2 linked regions of the Xenopus tropicalis genome follow. Each later gene encodes a partner of the first gene's protein in a complex. Links are inferred from orthologs where the notes say so. Each region holds a gene or a part of one and is shown on either strand. Other genes may lie near its edges.

Evidence for each region. The genes of interacting proteins can lie anywhere in the genome.
Region 2: the proteins of prkaa2 (region 1) and prkab1 are in contact, whole or in part, in a crystal structure (PDB 8BIK), measured with the Homo sapiens proteins. The link is inferred for Xenopus tropicalis from reciprocal best matches to the Homo sapiens genes PRKAA2 and PRKAB1. Residues at the interface, in NP_006243.2 of Homo sapiens: Gly9, Val11, Lys12, Ile13, Thr21, Lys29, Lys31, Asn48, Arg49, Arg53, Asp56, Val58, Ile61, Lys62, Ile65, Gln66, Lys69, Val82, Ile83, Ser84, Thr85, Pro86, Thr87, Asp88, Phe89, Phe90, Met134, Met164, Ser165, Asp166; in NP_006244.2 of Homo sapiens: Pro79, Thr80, Val81, Arg83, Thr106, Ser108, Asn111, Val113, Ile115, Gln154, Val155, Asp159, Phe160, Glu161, Val162, Phe163, Ala165, Leu166, Asp169, Ser170, Lys172, Cys173, Pro186, Tyr187, His188, Gln189, Glu190, Pro191, Tyr192, Ala202.

What each region holds. Positions count from the first base shown.
Region 1 is NC_030680.2:87,573,778-87,577,277, reverse strand, and holds part of prkaa2 (5'-AMP-activated protein kinase catalytic subunit alpha-2), read left to right. Parts: intron 1-462; coding exon 463-607; intron 608-2,015; coding exon 2,016-2,103; intron 2,104-3,437; coding exon 3,438-3,500. UniProt on the Homo sapiens protein: Catalytic subunit of AMP-activated protein kinase (AMPK), an energy sensor protein kinase that plays a key role in regulating cellular energy metabolism.
Region 2 is NC_030677.2:151,375,224-151,379,420, reverse strand, and holds the start of prkab1 (5'-AMP-activated protein kinase subunit beta-1), read right to left. Parts: upstream 2,801-4,197; 5' UTR 2,705-2,800; coding exon 2,561-2,704; intron 1-2,560. UniProt on the Homo sapiens protein: Non-catalytic subunit of AMP-activated protein kinase (AMPK), an energy sensor protein kinase that plays a key role in regulating cellular energy metabolism.

The DNA of each region.
Region 1 (3,500 bases):
CACCCTATTTTTTCAAGCTATTAAACATTCTGATCTGTTTAGATTTTTCCTAGTTGAACTAAAAAAAAAACATAGTAGACTTGAGTGTCATGTTCTTGTTTCTCTTCCCTTGTAAATGTATTTTTCTCAGCGGACTGTCATAGCACACTATCAGTTTTGTGTGGTTTGGAAAATGTAATTCCAAACCTAGGGAATCCAGATGTCAGACATCTAAATTGTGTGTATCGTGATGAGTGAGAAAGCACGATCAAAATTATATACCAGTGGCAAACTGCTGATACCTGACTATAAAATGGATAATGCTTATATGTTACCTTTTTCATTGGTATAATGATTAAGATGACAGAAAAGTGCCTTTAAACCAACGTATCTGTAAAGTTTAAACAAATATGTTTTTTCTTGACTGTAACTAACAACCTTATTAGGAAATCCAGTGCAATTCATTGGCTTTATCTGTTGTAGGTTGAAGAAGCAGAGGCAAGACGCCTTTTTCAACAGATCATTTCTGCTGTAGATTACTGTCACAGACATATGGTGGTTCACCGCGATCTGAAACCAGAGAATGTGCTGCTTGATGCACACATGAATGCCAAGATAGCTGATTTTGGTATGTGACTTCCCAAACATTCTAAGAATGTAGCCAGCAAACAGGTCATTTGTTGAAGGTTGTCAGTATACAATCATTAGCTGTGCAGGGATGTAGAACTCTGCAATTTCAGTTAAAATTCTTTTGTTATTAGTTGGAAAAACTGCCCATTGTTGAAAGAGAATTTATTTTATAAATTTGTTTTGTAGTCTAACCTTATAGAGAGCAATACATTTGCTGTAGGAACACAGCAAAGAAATTAAACATACCCTTGTTATAAAGATAGCCATTCCTGAAGCAGCACAGTTATCTATTATTGGCCAGCATAACTAGTTGTGCATATTTTGCAATAATCTCATTACATGACCTTGCAAAGGAATTGTTATGGCTAGTGCCCAATGGGTCTCTGTGTGTGTAAATAAAACAAGGCAAATTGTAGGGAAAACTGCCAAATAATACCTATGACAAATATATATTTGCAAGTTTTTGAAAATGTTAAAGTACATTTCATTGCAAGTATGCAAACTTTGTTATTTTTTAAAGCTGATAAAATGTGCATTTACAGGTAGTTTGTAATACAGGTATAGGACCTGTTATCCAGAATGCTTGGGACCTGGGGTTTTCCTGATAAGGATTATTTCTGTCATTTGAACCTCTGTGCCTTAAAGGAAACATATAGGATAAATGACCACCCCCCCCTAATCTTGGAGGCAGTTATGAATAATATGCATTATGATGCTAGTTTTACTTTGGGCTAAAAACTAATACCATCTGTAAAAATGACCTCTTTACTGGAGCTTCTTATAGATCCTCCCTGGTCCCAGTCTGTGTTTCAAACAAGGGGTGGTTGTGTACTGCCAGAGCATCAGTATGTGGGGGATAATCATAACCTTGCAGTCACACAAGCAAAGACAGACTTCAGTTTCCTATTTAGTCAGGTTAGCTGCTGATTGGTTCCTATCCTAGAGTGCTGAGTGCAACCAGCTCCCCTGCTCAGCTTGGGAAAGGAGGCAGCAGGAAGTGGCCACAGATGGGTGGGACTAGTAGGGTTTGAGGGGAATATCTCAGTAAATCAGTCCGAAACATTTTTTAAGTGCATTCCTTCCATATTTGGAGAAGTATAATGCATTGTCAAGCATTAATTATATCTGAGTTGGGATCAAGTACAGGGTACTGTATTATTACAGAGAAATAGGAAATCAATTTTAAAAATGTCAATTGTTTATTGAGTCTATGGGGGATAGCCTTCCCATAAAGTCAGAGCTTTCGGAATAACAGATGCCATACTTGTATTTCATTTGATATTCTGATTCTTTCCAGTTGTTTCACACGCTCACTCATGCTGCAACCAACAAAATGCATATATGTTGTATAATGTAAGGTAAGTGATCACACCTCTATAACTTATCTTGGAAATTGTTTCTCATAGGATTATCCAACATGATGTCAGATGGGGAATTCCTGCGGACCAGTTGTGGTTCACCTAATTATGCAGCACCGGAAGTCATATCGGGAAGGTAAAGTATTTTACTATACACAAAATCCGTGAATAACTTATGCAATACAGCCTGTTGAAGTTGCTTAGTCACGTCATTATATGGCGCTAAGGGGTGCAGCATTAATTTAGCATTGATAGGTAGAATTTGCTATTAAAGGAATTCTAACTGCAGTTTATAAATGCCAGCAGCACATGCCATCATAAAATAAACATGTAAGGTACATAATGTACATCATTTTTATTTGTATTTTTTTGCTTGTTTTTTTTTCATTAATTATTAGCTACAATTTTGTGCCATGATGGTGGTCCTTTTGGTAGAAGCTTGCCTTTCTTGTGGATATCAATGTAAATGTGGCAGTGGGCAGAACTTGTGTTTTGACTGCCATTACTGGATGGCGTCTGCTTCAGCACCTACATTGGTATCTTCTGGTGCCAGTCCAAACACCAGAGCCACCTGCTACCCTAGCTCCAGAGGGGATAAAGGGCATCTACTAATAGCATCCTTCCAAGTTACTTTCAGTCGGATAAAATGAGGAAAAACACTATTTTCTTGCACTATTATACACTGCTTGTTTTATAAAAAAGGTTTCAGAGTTGCTTTAAGGGCAACTAAGGCTGCAGGCAACCAGTGATTTATTTATAAAGGGCTGCCCTGTTTCTCATATACAGCAGCCCTCAGTTAAAAAAAAACAAAACTTTTATTTGAGCAGCAAAAGGTTCTGCACTGTAAGGTTTGTGAGCTTGTGAAAAACCCCCGCAGGTGATGCTGTGATGGCATATTCTGTGACTTGGGTGACTTTTTGTCCAAGCATAATATCCAAGTCTATAGTGATCTTAAGATCTACATTTAGTTATGTGTATATTTTTATATATTTGAGTATATTAATAGGTCTCTCTATATGTATATGCACTGTGAGTTATTTGGAGGGGTTGAACTTTTGTCTTTTTAACCCAAATTAACTATGTAGCATAAGTTATGCCTTTAAACCACATTCCTTTCAGTTTAGCAAACCTCCTGCCTGAATATTGGAACAAGTGACTTCAGTTTTCCTCGTACACACATACACTATGCTAGGTATTAGTATGATATCAGGTGGGAGAGCAGGGATAGACAAGTGGGCATGCTCAAATGCTTATCAGTACATTCAGACTATCTGTTGAAAAGATGGGTGCCTTTGAGAGACAATTTTCAAGGTTTATGAGGGATTTTGTTACGCTTCAAGTTGTGAGACTGTATTGGGAGAATGAGTTATTCTTATTTGGCCCTTCATAATGCATTTAAATGTAATACCATGCTTTTAACCTATTTCCAATTGTAGTGTATTATATTGTCTGTTCTACCTTTCTGTGTAGATTGTATGCAGGTCCTGAGGTTGATATCTGGAGCTGTGGAGTGATACTCTATGCTCTTCTCTG
Region 2 (4,197 bases), on another chromosome or scaffold:
ATATCTGGCTTAAAATCGGGCAGGTTAAAACATTGAGGCAGGTTCAAACAAGTTGAGGCAAGGATCGCATAATCCTTACAGACATAGATAGTTGTGCAGAGCTGCAGGAGTTTGCCTGGGGTGCAGTGGCAGACAGTCACATGGAGCCGAGCTAAAGATTATATAAATATCTAGAAAACAGCTGGGAATTAAATGAAATATCAGATATGCTCAGAGAAGCACTAAGGAACCATGTGTCTCTATAAGACTCTAATATCCTCAATTAACAGGAGTACTGAAATACCACTTGACTGACAAATATGAGTAAAGGTTGTTTCTATTCCTGCAGTACATGCTCACTGTGATCTATGGGAACAAACCTAAATACTTTTGGTCTATAATAAAGTCTTCAGCAGAATAAACCAACTGATACAGCCATGCCCATATTTATGTATTTACTTAACATTTCTCCCAATGATCACTATTCAAGTCCGTAATACCCACTAAATATGGTTTTGACATTTATTGCATGAATTAAGGCACTATCAACTTTCTACACTGTACCCAGGGCAAATGATTTATACAGTACATCTACTTAATAAAAGGCCATGAACTTGTGCCTCTGCTTCGGCTGATGAATATCCATGAGAAGGCCCTATAGGCAGCTGCACAAGGCATGTATACTGAACCTCATGGAAAATCTCTGACATCATGCTGATCCTTGCTAAAAATCAATGGGCACACATGGGTTAAGAATTTCTGGTTAAAGTTAATATAAATATGTAACCAAGAAAAGTAGTTCTGTAAAATACCAGTTCCAGCTCAGTCTTTATCAGCATCTTGTCCCCTATCAGATAGCTGCTCTCCGTTATTTACTTTCTCTACACCACATAGTCCCAAGCTGCAGGCAATCACCATTCATTTTTATTTTATCTTTTACTTACATAGCACTGACACATTTACACAAAGCTTTACATAGCTTGCTAATTGCTCACGTCAGTTCCTGCTCCACTGGAGCTTACAATCTAACTTTCCTACCACTTTTACACCCAGCAGGTTCAATGTCACCAGGAGCACATTAACCTGACTGTATAAAGAAACTGGAGCACCCGCCCATGTCGGAATCAAACTCAGGAACTCTGAGAGGCCAGGCTGCATAGCTAACCACTGAGCTACCAAAGAAGAAGCCTTACCCCATTCTAATGTTACCCATCAACCTCTCTTCATTTTACTAAGCAACTAAGAAACAGAATAGCAATGTCTGGTTAAAGAATTCAATGAAAGCCTATAGTGTGGGGACATGATGGTTAAATAAAGGTGCTACACAGAATCCCCAATTTACTTGATGAAGTGTTGGGTGCAGACAGTAAAACTTCTCTGCCAAGGATGGACAAATACTGGATTGTTTATTATTGGTTTATGTAGTTTGGTTACACCTCCACCCGCTCTTAATTCATGCAGTGGACTTAGTACTTAGTGTGTTGTTACACACCCATATACTATTCATTCTCTACAGAAAATGTTTTTTAGTAGTACCAGCAGCAGCAAGACTACAGTGCGTGGAGACACAGAGGAAAAAAGGGAAAGTTGTGTTCACCACTAAATTTTAAAACATTTATTGGGCGTGCAATGAGGCTGTAAACACAAGATTCATACAGGAGGTATCTTTACCTGGAATATACAGTCAAACAATTCCTGTTTTTTCTTTAAGAAGAGGACATTATTTAATAGTTTAATGCACATAATGTCCTAATGTCCATCATATATATTTATATTTGAATACTGGGTGAGCGCAGAGGACCTCTTGTCTCAGGAGAAAGACAGGTCACTGGAAATGTATACTCATGTATTCATGTAACGCCTAAATGCACCATGCATCTACAGCCAGGTCAGCGGTGCCACTGGGTGCAGCCAGCAGAGGAGCTATTTCTCAGCCTGTGCATATACACATTTTACATACATGACTTGTTGCTTTTACTACACCTGTTCACATGATGCTTGCTCAACTTTTCTGCTCCTGGCTATTAACCCTTTCTGAGGGCCTGGGGCATATGCAACTCAACCCAGTTCCCAGAGCATTACTTGTTAATGATCTGCCTTATAACTCTCTAAGACATAATGGGGCTCATTTAAAGTCAATGGGGAGATTTGCACATGGGCAGTAACCCATAGCAACTAATCAGCAATTTTATTTTTCAAGTCTGAAAGTAGAATTCTTACTGGTTGCCACGGTGCAAATTGGCCCTGTGTTTATACAAATTTGCCCCAATCAGAGAAGAGAATATCACTACTGTGATGTACCCTTTTCACCACTGCTGGGCGGTACTGTGCAACTCTTTTTGAATTTCCTTTTGCCATTTATGTGGACAAGAAGAGAGACAAGATACTGGGTGACAGAACCAATAGCAACAGGCTGGTGTAGGAAGCAATTACACTTTAGTATTAAAAGATTGTATCATGGTCACTTTATGAGTGAAAACTTGTTGATCTGACATAGGTCGGACTAAGCCTAAACTTGTCCTGTACTAATCCAGGACGATGTTTCGCAGGGACATGGCTGCAGGACGAGCCGCTTCTCTACCTTACTCTCCTCCGCAGGGAACATATCCGCATCCTCAGGACTGTCCATCAGTATTTTGGCTCTGTCATCCCCTTTCGACACTGCTCCGGTGCTATCTCTTCGCACCTTGTGGGGACCGGGACGTTCACTGCTTGTGTTCCCCATATTCCACACTTTACGAGCAGGTATCGCTCTTTAAACCTCCAGAAAGGACTTTGTTTATCACGCCGCTTCCGCTTCCTGCTGCGGATGTGACGATATTGCGTTCAAAGACTCGTTGTCGCACATGACGTTCGATCTGTTTTTTTCCATTACTCCTTTTCCAGCTATCTGTCAGTGATATCAGTGACAATAAAGGGATAGGTGCCAATTAATATCTGCGTATAGTTGGAATTGGAATTCCTCTACTGGGGTCGTTGTTTGCAGATGTAGGAAAAGTATACAATATTAAAAAGGGTTATAAGAATATTGACACTGCTATGAGATTGAGAGGTTGGGTAGTAAAAAGCTGCACTATATCTAATTAATTGCATATAGCAATCAACCAGCAAGTAGCCTGTTTAAAAACAAAAATCTTATTGGTTGCTATGGGTTACTGCATAATGTCAAATGATTATTATTATTATTAATAATAATTAAACTAAAACTACAGTTTAAACAGTTGTAGGAGAAAAGTAAGAAAGACTTCATGACACCAACAGTGCCACTGCCAAATGTATCTGTACTTCCATAGCAGCTCCTGGGGTGCAAAGCTGTGTAGCAGGGCTAGTGCCTGCACATTTGCACATTTTTGGTTTTCTAACTTATAACTAACAGTAACATGCACACTGGGCCAGTAGTAGACCATGCACATGCTCCTGGATCTGATACTTGTACAGGTGATTAGATGATCAGATACATTTGGGGCTGTGGGGGAGGTGGAGTTAGTGTAGCACTGTATCAAAGGCTTAAAAGTTGCCTGGGGGGGAAGTAGTTCCCTTTTAAAACGAGGAGTCTGGAGTCTGGGTCTCTTTTTGGCATTTTACTGCCAATAGATTTGCCACATTAGCATACCTCCCAACATCTTGAGACCAGAAAGAGGGACACTGCTCACAGTGCGGCAAATCTTTTTGAACACACCCATTTTTGCAACCACACCCCCTAAATACCACTCCCATTTTATTACATTTGGCATGCCCATTTTACTATTCAAAGTTAACACATTTCTGGGGGTTTTGGGGTCTATTTTTATGTATTATTACAGTTTTGCTGAAAAAGGTGAAGTTGCCCTTTAAGCAGCAAGTCTCAGTTCCCCCAAGAGACCTGTTTAGCTTATTAGTTTCAATGGTATCTCAGTGCAGGGTGGGGGGGCTTTTTACTTTTCTGGGCTCTTTGTCAAAAGTCATTTTTTAATTAAATTTGTATCATTTTTAGCTTCGGTGCAGTAGATCAAAGGGAAACGAGGGACTTTTCAGTAAGAATCCAGGACTGCGGGTTGAGCTGTCAAAAGAGGGACTGTCCCGCAAAAAACTTGGTACAGATAACTAACTTCTAATGCAATTTGTACCTGGTCTTCATATTTTATTTGCTTTTTGTTTATTTTTTTTATTAATTTTTAGTTTTGTAACCTTAGGGCATGGAATTTATCTAGGTACTAAGGCTTAATTACACTGGCATAA